4 linked regions of the Xenopus tropicalis genome follow. The protein of the gene in region 2 purifies or fractionates together with the protein of the main gene of each other region. This does not show direct contact. Links are inferred from orthologs where the notes say so. Each region holds a gene or a part of one and is shown on either strand. Other genes may lie near its edges. The genes, in order: skp1, mycbp2, fbxw7 and fbxo45.

The links.
Region 1: the proteins of mycbp2 (region 2) and skp1 purify together in Homo sapiens (affinity purification with mass spectrometry; 4 studies listed by BioGRID and IntAct, with this or other methods). This does not show direct contact. The link is inferred for Xenopus tropicalis from reciprocal best matches to the Homo sapiens genes MYCBP2 and SKP1.
Region 3: the proteins of mycbp2 (region 2) and fbxw7 purify together in Homo sapiens (affinity purification with mass spectrometry; 6 studies listed by BioGRID and IntAct, counting the BioPlex papers as one, with this or other methods). This does not show direct contact. The link is inferred for Xenopus tropicalis from reciprocal best matches to the Homo sapiens genes MYCBP2 and FBXW7.
Region 4: the proteins of mycbp2 (region 2) and fbxo45 purify together in Homo sapiens (affinity purification with western blotting; 7 studies listed by BioGRID and IntAct, with this or other methods). This does not show direct contact. The link is inferred for Xenopus tropicalis from reciprocal best matches to the Homo sapiens genes MYCBP2 and FBXO45.

The regions. Positions count from the first base shown.
Region 1 is NC_030679.2:26,567,484-26,571,698, forward strand, and holds the start of skp1 (S-phase kinase-associated protein 1), read left to right. Parts: upstream 1-1,403; 5' UTR 1,404-1,405; coding exon 1,406-1,502; intron 1,503-2,233; coding exon 2,234-2,307; intron 2,308-2,962; coding exon 2,963-3,106; intron 3,107-4,215. UniProt on the Homo sapiens protein: Essential component of the SCF (SKP1-CUL1-F-box protein) ubiquitin ligase complex, which mediates the ubiquitination of proteins involved in cell cycle progression, signal transduction and transcription.
Region 2 is NC_030678.2:126,190,618-126,194,184, reverse strand, and holds part of mycbp2 (E3 ubiquitin-protein ligase MYCBP2), read right to left. Parts: intron 3,384-3,567; coding exon 3,234-3,383; intron 2,050-3,233; coding exon 1,889-2,049; intron 1,354-1,888; coding exon 1,209-1,353; intron 255-1,208; coding exon 30-254; intron 1-29. UniProt on the Homo sapiens protein: Atypical E3 ubiquitin-protein ligase which specifically mediates ubiquitination of threonine and serine residues on target proteins, instead of ubiquitinating lysine residues.
Region 3 is NC_030677.2:55,548,320-55,551,886, reverse strand, and holds part of fbxw7 (F-box/WD repeat-containing protein 7), read right to left. Parts: intron 3,252-3,567; coding exon 3,070-3,251; intron 1,857-3,069; coding exon 1,631-1,856; intron 532-1,630; coding exon 321-531; intron 1-320. UniProt on the Homo sapiens protein: Substrate recognition component of a SCF (SKP1-CUL1-F-box protein) E3 ubiquitin-protein ligase complex which mediates the ubiquitination and subsequent proteasomal degradation of target proteins.
Region 4 is NC_030681.2:129,851,925-129,855,990, forward strand, and holds the start of fbxo45 (F-box/SPRY domain-containing protein 1), read right to left. Parts: upstream 2,812-4,066; 5' UTR 2,705-2,811; coding exon 2,399-2,704; intron 1,532-2,398; coding exon 1,175-1,531; intron 1-1,174. UniProt on the Homo sapiens protein: Component of E3 ubiquitin ligase complex consisting of FBXO45, MYCBP2 and SKP1. Functions in substrate recognition but also plays an important role in assembly of the complex.

The sequences.
Region 1 (4,215 bases), on a different chromosome or scaffold from region 2:
ATATTTGTTTACCTGGGCACAGTGGACTCTCACATGGAACTTGTAGGGGATCAGTCACCGTTTTGAAATATCCACTATTATAGAGCAAAAGGAAATTGGTCAAACAATAATAAAATGGCATTTCCAAAAGCTTTCTTGATAATGAGTCTCCTTAATCTAGATCCCATACCTGTAAGATTAAAAATGTGCTTAACTACACAATTAAGATTTCAAGTACACTCTGTCCCCTCTAAGATATTTAATAACCAGTCCTCTTTTTAACAGAATATGGTAATTCCTATTGCCTTGTGCTGTTAGTCACTCTGCTCTGTATGTTGCTGTCTAGGCCAAACTTCTGTTATTTTAATTCATAAAGCCTTTGTTTAAAATGAGGCTGAGTGAAAAGCATGGCTCAGGGATAGCAAATGTCCTCTCTGTAATTGGCTGTATGTCAACTATTGATGTACAGATTCTTTTTCTGGGCAGGATGGGCAAATGGCCTCTAATGCAGATTTGGAGCTTGGCAATTGCCATTATCCTGGCTGCTATTGGCAAAGTCATACTGCAGCAGTAAAATGACACCCTTTGTTGGTAATTACTTTGTTCTGCTTCCATAGTTATACCTGCTCAGTAAGTCTTTCCCACATCATATATGCCAGAGACACTTTCCCTTTGTGTACTGCGTGCACACTAATGGTGGCCAGTGTTAACAAGGGTTCATCCATCTCCAGCTGTCCAGCCATTTGCAGTCGGCTGTTAAAGGAGCAGTGCCAGGTTGACAGCTGTTAGAATTTAGTGCATTTTCCCAATTCCTGCACAGCTCTCTGAAAATTGCAGAGTACCGGTAATTGCACATTCCGGATGAGACCCAAAGCTTTTAGCTCCTTATTCTCTTCCTGGTAGTGGAGGGCAGGGTGCTGGCAACAGTTGGCAGGCCCCTTCTTATTCCTACTAGCTGCAGCTTCTTCCCTTTGCTCATTAGGCCGTGCCAGACCACTGTATATTGCACAGTTGGTGTGGGTCTTGGGCAGAGACTGAAGCAACCAGGCACCAGGGCTGTTGTATAGATGATTATTTTTATTGGCCCTGCCTTACTGACAACCAGGGCATGAAACATGATGTTTGCATTTCATTAAAGCAGAAGGAAAGGTATAGTCACTGGGGGGGTGGTTGCCATGTTAGCCACTCTGTGATTCTACTTGCCTACAATGGCCTGCAGTGCACTTGCTGTGCTTGCTGCCATTTTGTTCCCATGTCTCTCCTGCTCACCATGCTTAAATGTGCTTCAGTGCAGCATCTTGAGTTTCACAGCTGCCTTCCTGATCATCTCTCATTGAAAGTACCAATTGATTTTCTTTCTGTTTTGCTTGCAGTAACTTCACTAAGCAGTACTGTTTGTGTTGATTAATGTGTTTTTGTTTTTCAGATGCCTTCTATAAAGCTGCAGAGTTCTGATGGAGAGATTTTTGAAGTGGATGTTGAAATTGCAAAGCAGTCAGTAACAATTAAAACTATGTTGGAAGGTACTTTTTAAAAAAAAATTCTTTGAATATGTATTCTTTATAATTTTGTCCTCTGGTGTGCAGGTCTTCATTTGTTTTTATTCTCCTAGCTTTGAAAGTGTTGGTGTAAAGGCACATTGGGCAATTGAGTGGATTCTCTCCAAAAGCAATCCCTTTACAGAAACAATATTGCTGGGAATTTTTCTTCTATGTAGCATTTGCATGACCTTTGAGTGCACCTGGGTGAACAGACATTTGCAATTGAAATGTCAGGGGTAATTCCAATCATTTTGTCATCCACTTTCAAATTGGGAAATTTCTTGGGTTTGTGGAGGATTATCTTTTTAGGTAGTAGCTCCTTTTACACTGATAAGAGACAGGTACACAGGGTACTTTAGAAAACATTGTTTGTACAATCCAGGATTTGGAAATGATGGAATAAGGGCTTTTTATTAAAAAAAAAAAAAGTTTTGGTGCTGTTCACTACATAACAGGTACACAGCGTTTCAAACTACTCATAACAGCAGTGATCCCAATATAACAAATAAGTAGCAGTCTTGCTGAAAAAAAATTGTCCTCAGAGGAACTGGTTGTAATATTTCTGTTGTGTTTAAATTTATTTTGTGTAAATTCTTGAGAAATCTCTTATTTGACTATAGTTTTAGAACATTGCCTTTCTGTCTAAATTATCTTGGGTTTTTTTTTACATTTTTTTGGCAAGACACAGTTATCAATTAAATGTTTTTAAACAGATCTGGGTATGGATGATGAAGGTGATGATGACCCTGTGCCACTTCCCAATGTTAATGCTGCAATCCTTAAAAAAGTAAGTGCTATTTAGGTAGTGGTTTTACGTATACCCATACTAGAATACTGGATGCAGATTAGAGATTGTTTTTTTTTTTTTTAGAGGTGTTGGTTTGCTGCAGGGATATAATGCAATGTAATTAGGACAAAAAAATTGTACCAGATTCAGAATTGTGTTAATTAAAAAGTTGCAACAGCCTCCCCCCCCCCTACACACACACACACACACACATTATTTATATTTGCTTATCACTGCCAGAAGAAGAACTACTTATAAATGCCAGGGTTTTAAGGCATATTGGCAAGTAAAAAAATAAAACTGAACTATTGGTTATTAGGAACTTCATCCTGCTGTTTGGGGTTTCATATTCTTGAGTTATGATGTATACTGTTTCAGACCTAGAAACACTTGCTCTCTAATTCAGGCAGTAGAGGACATTGCTCCTATTTTTGGTTTAGCTCTTCAAGTGTAGGTTGTTACAAGATTTACTTTTTTTTTTTTTTTTTTTTTTACTAGCTTGAATTATATTAACATATAAACAACAAAATGATGAAATTGAACATATCTTAAGTTTAGCAGTACCACATTGTCTTGGATTCAGGACCTGGCCAACAAATGCAGTCAGTTGTATAAATCATAAAGATAAATACCTATGTACTTTTATTTTCATCAGGTCATTCAGTGGTGTACACATCATAAAGATGATCCCCCTCCACCCGAAGACGATGAAAACAAAGAGAAGAGAACAGATGATATCCCTGTGTGGGACCAAGAGTTTTTAAAAGTGGATCAGGGAACACTATTTGAACTGATTTTGGTGAGGCATGCTCACCAAAAAACCCAACAGCTTTTATAGAACCCATTAGAATTACATAAGTGTATTTCTAGTACTTGTACTTAGTAGTATTAATAACCTTAAAGGGAACCTGCAACTTAAAGTACCACACAGTCTGAAGGTATTGCACACACAACACAGCCTGAAGGTAGTGCACACACAACACAGCCAGTAATTATTTGTGTTTTTGTCCGAAAGAGGTAGGAGAGTTGATATTTAAAAACCTTGCCATTAACATGTTCCAACAAAGTGTGCTTGTTCTCCTGCACTTGAGAGGTAAGGGTGAGCCCACATATATGAAACGTTGTGCATAATTTTGTCCTTAGTGGCTTCAATAAAGGCATCCACATGGCATCTGCATGTTGCTTCTGAGCAATATAGTTTTAACACACATAATTTTATTCATACATTAAAACGTGGCTGCCATTTTACTTGTTAACACATAACACAACAGTTACTAGAAATTTATACACTAATTCATAAAAGATTTTTAAAAATTTACATACACATGTCCATATATTCCTCAGTCAGCATAGATTTAACTTCCAAACTGAAAATGGCTGAAACTATTTTTTTTTTTTTCATCTCAATCCTATATACATAAATTACACTTGCATATTCATATGTAGTGCTTATACGCCACTTAAAGCACGTATGATAACTTTTCCTCATAAAATACCCTTCATTAATTTAGAGCGAGTCCAAAAAGAGCTACTATTTCATTAATATCCATTTAAGGATTTGAGACCAATACTGCACTGCATATTCTAGATGGGGCCTTTGCCAGTGTTTTCTAAAGTGGGAATATGTACTTCCCCTCTGAGTCTGTATACCTTGCTGGCTCTTCCTTCCGCTGACTGGCATTGCTTGCTAAAGCTAAGTTTATTTTCCACAAGTCACCCCAGCTCCTTGCATATTTTGGAATGCCACTTAGCAGGCCAGTCTCCCAGTTTGTCCAGTTCCTCCTAAAGGATGCTACATTCTTGGTGGCACTGATTGAGCTGCATAACTTTTGTGTCATTGTCATAAACATATATTGCTTCTAAGCCAATTCATAAGCTTTTCTGCAGTCTATTGGTACCATATCAAAT
Region 2 (3,567 bases):
GTAAATAAGTACAGCACAGTGATTATTACCCCTAAGTCCCGAGAATTGTCTATGTGAACAGAAACATAACGAGTGTTTATGCCTTTCACACAGTTTATCGTTATGCTTTTGGTTTTATTTTTATCTTCATCTCCTGACTCCCAAAATGTTTCTGTTGATCCATCAGTCAGACTTCCAATCATGGCTGGTCTGCTGGAAGTCTTTATATCCACAATGCTTGTCATATCTTTTAAGCCAGTTACCAAGCAGGATCCCTGTAAGAAAAAATGGAATTTAACAATACTAAAAGGAGTATAACATGACAATGTAAAAGAAGATCACTTGACAAAAACTGACACCGCTATATGCATTTTTTATTATTGTCTCATGCCCCCTGTACCACTTACCTTAGCAATTATGCATTTAATGGTAAATGTGACCATAATACTTTTAAATTATTTTGAATTACTTTTAAAATAATCATTGCTGCTATTATTAGTGGGCATGTTGTAAATGTCTATGTGCTACTTATTGCAACCAAATTCACAAGAATTATGAGCAAGAACTACATAACTAACTATATTGTGTTGACAAACCAATGAGATACATTGATTCTGTCATGATTTTTATGATATAGTTTTTATTACTATACTACACTGTTCACATTGCAAATTATTAATTCTACCATTTAAAATGTAATATTGGTGTGTAGGCAGCCATCTCAGTGCATTGTGTCTGATCTTGCACTTTCATAAAAAGCCAGCACTGCGCAACAGAACTGCTTGCAGGTAACTATTGTTTCTCCTACTCAATGTAACTGGAGGAGTCATGGGTTGTTTGTTTTACTATTGAGTGCTATTCTTATATCTACCACTTGGTGGGGCATGGGAGCATTTTTAGCAATGCAGGTGTCAGGGAGTGGTTACCTTTCTATTGTTCTGCTGATCGGCTGCTGGGGGGGTGGGAGGGGGGGTGATAGCACTCTAACTTGCAGCAGTTAAGTGTGATTGAAGTTTACCAGAGAACAGGTCACATGGCTAAAGGCACCTGGGACACTAAGAATATGTCAAGCCCCACATCAGATTTCAAAATTAAAAAAAAAAATTCTCTTAGTAAAAAGCATGTTCTACCTCAACAGAATCCCTATAAATCATTTTATTTCTATTATGCTGTTTTGTCTCACAACTAACATTATTTTAACATCGGGACTGTACACTGTTGAAACTTGCCTCAAATCCAGACTGCACACTGATGTTAAAACTCTCCTCACTGTCTCCATCATCTGACTTGGAGAGAATGTTATTAATATGACGAAATACATTACTCTGATGTAGAAACTGGTGGTCTGATTGCTTGAATTTCAGACTCCAACATCTGAAAAAAACGGATAAAACAAAGGGGCATAAATATTTGATCAAACATTTTAGTAAAAGGTATGAAACAATATTAGCTGAAAGCATTAAAAGAAATTAATAACTGCAAGCAGCTTCTTTGCAAGACCCGTGGCTTAATAAACATTAAATCAATGTCTAATGTATAATGCTCTTAACTCTCCCAAAAGTTAATATATTTTTTAGTGTCTGTGCCTGTTTTTACCCAACTCTAGCAACCAGCGTAAGCTCAAGTGGGCAAATGTACACTCAACCTGCAGATCGGTGTCATGCATTTACTGTATATACACTGTAACTGCTTTATCCGTAACCAGTTCTGCTCACCACCACCCCATTGTAAGTAATGTTTTCCGACACTGGAACTGATGTCATCATAACTTGGAGATGGTTTCATTTGAGACCCACTGACCTGCCCCCAATACCTAACTACACAATTCTGACACAACCCAGTTTAAACTACAACAAAGACTCTGCATACATCACTGTTATACCATTAATACACAGTAATGGGTCTTTACCTCAGTGCCATCTGTTGCAAGGAACTACCCCCAGGAAGAGACATCATCAGGTCCGAAATGGTCTGTAGAAGACGATGAAATGTGTCTGGCAAGGGATGTGCTGCTTCCCCAGCAATAACTATGTCTGACAATGGGTGTTCACATACTCTTGTGTCTTTTTCCTTAAAAAAAAATTATACTATATATTATATATATATATATATATATGTGTGTGTATATGCATCTGTGTGGCTCACAAGTACAAATGATTGGGGATCCCTGTCCTAGGGTGTCTGGGGGCCAATCTTGAATGCCATTTAAGCATTCTCCCCCAGATCTGTTTTGCACTTTGAAAGTTGGCTTTGCTGCTCTGATCTTGTGTTTTTTTGCAAGCTGAGAGAAGGGGATTCACTCTCTTATGCACCTCAGTACACTGTACTGACAATTACAGCTTCCGCTTGGCTACACAAGGCGGAGCTGAGCAGAGATTGGCCTAAAAATGTCTTGCCTTCTAGTTTTTGGGCCAATTCCCGCTCAGCTCTACTTTGTGTAGCCAAGCAGAGGCAGAAGTTGTACTTGTCAGTGCAGTTTTACGGAGGTGCATAAGGGAGTAGTGCCCCATGGGCAGTGATTTGAGATTTAGGGGCAAATTTAGCAAAGTGTGAAATTAGAGCTCCATACAGAAAAATTACCCCACTTTCTATCCATTTATCAAATGGTGAAGTCTAACTTTTACCCATTGGTAAATATGTTTGATAATCTTGATATTATCACATAATGGCTGATATTTACAAAACAATTTGACATAATTATTTAACCCTCTTTATTTCTGTAGATTGTATGTTTTATAGTATGTGGCCTAAAGGACCTGACTGCCAATGATGAGCAACTTAAGTATCTAGGTTACTACTTGAGCTGTGCTGTTCCACATGGTATCTGGCAAAACATGGTGTAATAAGATCAGAAAGACAATGTGGGTAAGAGGTTAAAATCAATTTAAAAATAGTGCATAGGATTCCCTGAGTTTCTAGTTATGCCAGACTGAAATACCAGAGAGAGGAACATTAAAATTTAAAAATAAATTATATAAGTTAACTGAAAAAAAAAGTAATTTCTGGTGTACTATCTGCAAACAACTGGACTAAAAAAATGTTTGGAAGGTGAACATGCCCTTTAAACCTCCATTTTTGTTTAATGCAAAACAATGACATTCTACACAAATTTCTTTTGTCTGTTTTTGACTCCTGAAACTTAGCAAAAATAAGAAAGAAGCGTGTATTGTTTCAATAGCAAAAATATTTACAAATAAACTCAAAGCCGTTGATAATTTGTAGTTTGCATTCCCTTTTTAGACTACAGACTGTACCTGTTCAGCGTTTTCCTTGTTAGCTTTGTTTTCCTCATCCTCATCTTCTTCTGGTTCCACTGGAGCAGGAGTTAGGGAGGCCACAAAATGCCATAAGATATCATGGAGAGATGTTGTCTGAATGACATTACAAAGCAGCCAATTGAAAGCCTACAAAAAAAAAAAAAGTTATGGAAATGCGCTGAAGTGCATGTGTGTGTGACACCCTGTTAGGACAAACCTCCTACCTTAACACATATTTAAATATGTAATTGTACTTCTCCTACACTGCACCAACTGTTGATGTCCCTGTTATGGTAATGCAACAACCAGACAACTCACCAAATAAAAATAG
Region 3 (3,567 bases), on a different chromosome or scaffold from region 2:
CAGAATTGTGTGCAGCAGGGAACATGCAAGATTTAGAGAACTCATTGTTCCACCAGTAAATATCTCACTAACAAGAAGGGAGAACAAAATCTACTCTGAAAAACATTTTTTAAACATTGATTACAATTTACACATTATCTTATTTAAGGTATAAGCATGTATATTAGAGTAAAAGGTTTATAAAACAAAAGGGTATAATAGGTATATAGCACCAGTTCTATGGAAAATAAAAGAAATGCACAGTTAACTCAAGTCTCCAGGTTAATAGCTTCACCTCAGGCAATAGTTCCTGTGCAAAACAGATTAAACTGGGCTCTCACCTTGCAATGTCTGTAAACACTGTCCTGTTTTTATGTCCCATATTTTAACAGTAGAATCTGCGTTTCCCGAGACTAAAATGTTATCCTTCAGCTCCATTCCGCTAGTTAAGGATTGATGTCCGGTCAGTGTGTGGATACAATTCCCAGTCTCCACATCCCAAACCCTTATTGAGGTATCCAGGGAACCACTTACTACATGAATGCCGTCAAACTGCAGTGGAGGGAAAAAAAAAGTCAGTTAAAATGACATGTACAGCAGTAACATACCTAAAGATGAGCTCTAAAAACTGCAAAGTCATTGTGTTTGCCTGCTGACACAGATTGTTTAGGGTGTGAGTATAGGGGAGTATTGTTCTAGAACAGCATCCCCCTCATCTACAAAAGAACCTACGCTGCCAATATCTGTTGTTGTATTGATATTTTTTTTTTTTTAACAAGATGATCAACTATTGTTTTCAAGAAGCTTCCCATAAGCTTGACTGACCTTCAGATGATCACACACACGGAGCAATGTACTGATAATATATCTTAAATGTGTTCAGAAATATAGCATGTAAGTCCTTGGTACCCCTGTTACCCTGGATACTAGCTAATACAACACAAGTACGTCAATACAACTTAAGCAATTCTCTTATAGTTGCCCGTGCCTAACACAGCAGATACAGACTTGGTCCTATGTGTGGGATGAGCTGCGACTGTCTTTAATGATTTCCTAGTTAATAAACTAATCAATCAAAGCAATAGGATATATGACTCAGAAAAACTGATGATACTCTGGGTTTCCTTTTTGTGAGATCAAATGAAATTAGAAGGAACTATTCAGCATTAACAGGAGTAATTAGAGACCTACAAGAGCACAACCAATTGCTAAACAGTAAGAAGCTACTTATAACCAGGGGGCATTTCTGCTGACAGGGAAAAAAAAGAGCAAGAAGCGAGAGTGCATATAACAAACAGCCCAAGGCAAAGTAAATAGAAATTATTATGGAATGACCTACATTTATGTTGGGGGAATGTGCCCTGGTCTTAAATTCTTAAGCAGCATTTTATAATAGAAAGATTAATGAATGCATTTATAAAAAACCTTTAATGGATTAACATATAAATGACACAAAAGGCAAAAACCTGCAGAAATGCATAAATTGTAACATTACTGCTTGAACAGCAGAGGATAGTAAAATTCCTTTCTTTTTAAATATATTAGGTATGTCCCCCATTCATTATAACTAATATATTTAAAATGAATGAACGAGCATGCAGAGCTCACATACAGTATTCAGGATGGAGTAACAATGACACCCAGTCTCTACCTGTAAGGAATAGACTCTGTTAGTGTGGCCTTGAAGTGTGTGTAAACAGGTCTCTGTCTCGGGATCCCAAACTTTCACCATGAAGTCATAAGCTCCACTGACAACCCTTCGGCCATCATACTGAACACATCGGACCGCTGCAACATGCCCCATCAGAACATGCAAGCACTGGCCAGTCTCAATATCCCATACTCGAAGGGTGGCATCTCGTGAACCGCTCACAACCCTGCAGGATGACACACAAGAACAGATATGTTACCTTGTAGCATGCTTAAATAAAGAAACCGGCATGACATAAATACATAAAGAATAAATGAAAGTAAAATTCCTTTGTAAAGGAATGTAAAGTTGCTTTCCGATTACTTATTATTAAAGTTCCCCCACCCTTTAAAGCCTTCCCTTGGCACTAATGTTCCATTTCTGTTTTATAAATGCTCAGTGTATACTTATTAACAGGCTGGAATGTGCACATACATGCAAAATATATTCTTTGCTTTTGTGGCTGGAATGTCGCCACATGACTTCCCAGGGATATCAGCCATAAAAGTTCTCTAATAATTAAAAGTGACATTCCCCTTTATATTAACCTTAAGTATGTTATAGATAAACCAATTCTAAGAAACTTTTCAATTGGTCTTCATTATTTATTTTGTATGTTAATTTTTTCTAAGGATGGATAATGGCACTAGGGTAACCAAAATGCTTTAAAATCACTTCAAGTGTTTTGTAGCTTCTTAGGTAGAGGACAAAACACCCTTCTATTAACTATGAATAAAAATCGCATAAAAGCGCTCAATTTTGTAAAGGCAATTGTTGTTTGAAACTATGTTTCAGTATATGTCTGCATAAAAACACCACCACGGGCTTTAACTCAAAGTTTACTGGTGGGGAATAGTGATTTAGAGCTTTTTGCAACCTGTTCACGCAGTGACAGAATGCCGGTTGCTCCATGTCCCTTCTCCTACTAATCTTTCATTGTGACTTTCAAAGTACTTGGAACATGGTTGCTAAGGTAATAAACCCCTAGCAAATTCTAAGCCCCAAAACAAAAATTCTAAATGATTCAAACCCCGTAATACTAAAAAATCTAATTAATAGCAAGCTGAATAGTGCTGTCTACATCATACAACATACTAAGGGCGAAGATACATGGGGCGATTTAAAAAGTTCCAGTGGACCAGCCAGTAATGAATACCAACATTAACATTACTGGTTAGTGTATGTTTGGCAGTTAGCTAAAACACAAACAACAGAACACTATTTAGTGTGTGAAAAGGCTAATCAGCTGCTCTGGAAATGTGTTTAACCACCCAAATCATGTACTACGATCTGCTAGATGGCCTGTAACGTGGCCCATGTCTGGCTAGCATTAGGAACTGACACAAGTAATAAGTGACATTTTTATTTAACATTTCCCTGTTAGCAACATACATACTGACCTTTTCTCATGGAGATGCATACATCGCACAGTGGAGGTATGGCCATATAGAGTGTGTATACATTCCCCGGTCTCAGCATTCCATACTTTCAATGTCCGATCTGTAGAACCGCTAATAATGATGTTGTCTCTCATTTGCGACGACCAGACACCACCCGTGTGCCCAACAAGTGTTCTCAGACACTGTAAAATACATAATTATGCACCTGTCATGTTATGTGCTCCTACTGCTATTTAGATACAGATACAGGTCCAAAAATAAGCTGCTTCAGCACAAAATCCAAAGACTGCAAATCCTAGTGTTTAGTCAGTATCAAGTTGCCCAGGCTACCTTTTATTTATTCTGTATTGGGCCTGGGGCGGGGCAGACAGAAGAAGGGCTCCTGTATCACTATTGTAGCAGAAAGAAACAAAGATCACTGTCCCCAATCCCTCAATGAATATGACCAGTGAATGACAACCTGAAACTATAATGTCACCTCACCAGTTAGGCCAGGTG
Region 4 (4,066 bases), on a different chromosome or scaffold from region 2:
ATTTCGGGGAGATTAGTCGCCTGCGACAAGGGAGATTTGTCACGGGCGACTAATCTCCCCGTGTGCCACAGCCCTAAACCCCCTATATAACTCTTCCTTATCTGTAAACCTAAAACATGTGATGCAGATGAGAAAATGGATAGGAATATTTATACAGAGATCATTATTTTTATTTAACCACTCTAATTATAGGTGGGAGGAGGGAGATGAAGGAAAAAGGTAAAACTAAAACCTTACACAGATGCTCTTTTGGCAAAATAAAAATAGGCATTTATACTATACTTGGATACACATCTTTTACTGCACTATTTTAGCTCAAGCCAAAAAGCACTGCCTTTTAAAAACAATCTGATTAAAATTATGTTCAAGGGGGTAGTTCATCCATACAGAACTTATTTTTGCACAGTCGCACAACTCCTCTATTTTTGAACATTTTCCAGAAATGCAAGTTTTAATAACAAAATAGTTTTGGTTTCCACTCTCATGTTTCTCAGTAGCAAACCAGTGAAAAAAACAATCACCATTCCAGTTGTTTTAAGCCGGCCATACATCATCATCCAAACCTTGTTTTGTAATATATTCGGTGCGTGTATGGCGGCATGAAGAGGCAACCAATATTGCAAAGGCGGATATCAGACGCCTCTTCACTTGGCCAGGTTAAAAGGCGCCCAAGCAAAATCTACATTTAGGGCAGAATCGGCAGAAGGAGGTAGAATTCCTATTGTTTCTTCCTCCATATCTGACAATTCAGCCCTGAATGTCAGTGGAGGGTGGGAACGATCTTTCCTGTGACCAATAGTCGCATGAAAGATGGTTATTGCTACGTGTGTTGCCACCTTTAAACGTCTCACTACTAGACCTGGATGAATGAAAAACGTCAAAGACATCTGATACATCAGTCGACACATTGCTCAGCCCCAACTAATAGTCTGTAACAACCCAATTGTAAAACTGATAATTGCTGCTATTTTTTTTTTTTTAATGCTGCTGAAAACTGTATCAATACTAGAGTATGAGATATAGCAGTTTAGGAAGTTAGAGATCTAGAAAATAAACTAGAAACATTCCTTTTTAAAGCCTAGAAAGGAAAAAAATAAAAATCAATTAAAACTACTACATGGGATATGCTAACAAGTTGAACTACCCTTTTAAAATCATAATTGGATAAACTCACCTGGTATTTTGGGGCATTATTGCACTGGGGGAAGCTACCGTTTACCTCCCCATTATGCAACAAATTGTTATCCACAAGATTCCAGCCCCAGCTTTGGTCATCACTGCCCAGGAGTGCCACATACCCCTGACACTGCATAGGTGCCCGTTTTGTAGCTATTCCTATTACAGCAACTGTTCCCAAAGGGCCTTCCCACCACACTTCCCATGCGTGACGACCTTCACTGAAGCCGATTTTGGTGCGTGCTCCATCTGTACTCTGTGCTATGGGGTTTCGGTGAAGGGTGAAACCATTTTTCTTAATGTAGACATTTCTGGAGCAGTCACTTGAACTGAATCCATGCTGAAAGGCCCGCATCTGCAAGAAATGGCATGTAAAGAAATGCATTTAGACACAAACACAAGCCCCAATATAAGAAATGCACATTAAAGAGGATGTTAACATTGAGACTTTTGTCCACCCAATGGGTCTGCAGTCCCTGCTTAGTACAGCTATTCTAATGAATGAAGAATTAATAATTATCCATGGGAGACCAGACTTAGTAGTTCACCTTAATACCTATAAAATATGTAGGCATCAGTATTGTAAAACCATTTGCCATTATGATATTCCCCTTAAAGTTGGCTGAACACACATATGTTTTACCAAGATTTTCGTACCATAGCGGTTTAGTCAATCCGCCAGTCTGTGCATGTATTGTGTATTGCGGGCCTACAATGCAATTCCAGGAAGTCACGTTTGTACGATTGATGTCTGACAGCTATGTTATATTCAGAATTTCCTCCAATTTAATATTCTTAGGACTATATCCTACAATTTCAATGTGAATGTTAGATTGTTGCATTTAAACTCATGATCGATATCTGAACATTCGTTGGAAGAAGACTAAAATCTGAACGTGTAGGATCTGATTTTAATTCAGATCAGCATTAAGGGGGATGTAAACCCCAAGATAAGTTAAAATCTGTAGCAGCAAAGCATTAAGGGACATATAATACCATTGTATTTACAAATACCCAGCGATTTTTTGTTTAAATAAATGTATATTGGTGATTAGAAAATGAATGTTCTTTCATTAGGCAGAATTATTTAGGCAGCTTTCGATCCCCGGTAAGTGTGCGCACAGGCTCCCCAGAGTATATATAGGAAGAGAGTAAAGCCCAGGCAGGGTATATTATCCATTCATGCGGCAGGGCACAGCAAGCAGGGGAATGGCAGCCCCACCTTTGCCTTGTATGTCGGCAGGTTGCACAGTATGTCGGTTCGCAAGGCTTCCTCGCTGACGATTCTGCCGCACAGACTCCTCCACACTTCACTGTTCTCGTCTCCGTGCAGACAGCGGTACCAGTGCTTACACACCAGGCCGCAGCTGCGCAGGTCAGGCAGGTCCAAATAGGAGAACACCAGTTCGAGCACCCTGCTAGGCAGCCTACCCGAAGCCTGACTCAGCGGCGGCGGCGGAGGAGGAGGAGGTGCTGTTGGAGCCACCGGAGGAGGAGGTGCAGCAGCATTAATAGCTGCTGCCGCCATACCCTCCGTATTCCAGGCAGCGACGCTTCACCGGCCTCCACACAGACACCTCATCAACCAGCGCCGGCTCCGGCCCTATGCATCACGTCATGCCCAGCCAATCAGACTAAGGAGAAGGGGTTCCCGAACGCTCAACCAATTATCGCTAGGGTCCACTAAAAATGAGGACGCTTCCTGGTTTCTGCACTTTCTCCACCTGACCTACTTGCAGCCAATAGCTGCTTAGTATGGACCCCACGTGCTCCTATTCCTAAGCGCTTACCAATCAGAGGAGCGGTAGAAAGGAGCTGCCTGAGGAGGTTGCTATATCGGGCATTAGAGTGCCTGCTGTGAGGTAAAAGCGTGCTTGAAAGTGTATAGATTGCCTTTCTGGCAAGTTCCTTATGTGTATTAGATATGAAATGTGCAGATCTGCTTACTAATATTTACACGGGTCTATATTTTGTAGCTGCTGGGTGTCTCAGTCTGCACTGGCAGGAACCCCATTTCATGTGGCTAAGGCTTCGCTATCATTGCAGAAACATGCTGCATGGCTGCACCGAGCCCTGCCCCAGGCCCACAACCTTAATAATCAATCATTGCCTGTCTGTATATGGCTGATAACTGCTGTACCGTTATACACTCACCTCAATAGAAATGCCACAGAAATCTCTACATTTATTGAACCCAAATCTGTTTTTTTTGTTTAAGTAAATAACACAGTCAAAGGGAAATTTGAAGTCTAACTTGACCAGTTATTTAGTTTAGTTATCCCGTTGGGTTACACAACATATTGTGGTGCGCACAAGGAACTTTCTGTGAAAACACAACATTTTGTATCCTGACCTGAACACACTGTGTGGCACATAGCCAAGAATGAATTAGATGTATGGAAGGAAGGTATGAAAGCTGCTGAACTAAAGGGGCCAGTATATCACAAAAGTGGCCAGAAAAGCTCTGCAACCAAGTTGAATTTTTAATTTGACTTTAAATCACTATTATAGGGGCACATTTACTTACTCACAAACGGGCTGAATGCGTCCGATTGCGTTTTTTTCGTAATGATCGGTATTTGGCGATTTTTCGGAAAATTGTCGCGACTTTTTTGTTGCCATTCCGAATGTTGCGCAAAATCTGGCGATTTTTTCGTAGCGTTACTACTTGCGCGAAAAGTCACAACTTTTTCGTAGCCTTCGCGCCAAGTACTAAAGATTCGGATTCATTCAAGCTTCAGTATGGTGACTTTTCTTGGGCCAGGTTGGAGCTGCAGAGTGCCATTGAGCCCTATGGGAGACTTTCCTTGGGCCGGGTTGGAGCTGCAGAGTGCCATTGAGCCCTATGGGAGACTTTCCTTGGGCCGGGTTGGAGCTGCAGAGTGCCATT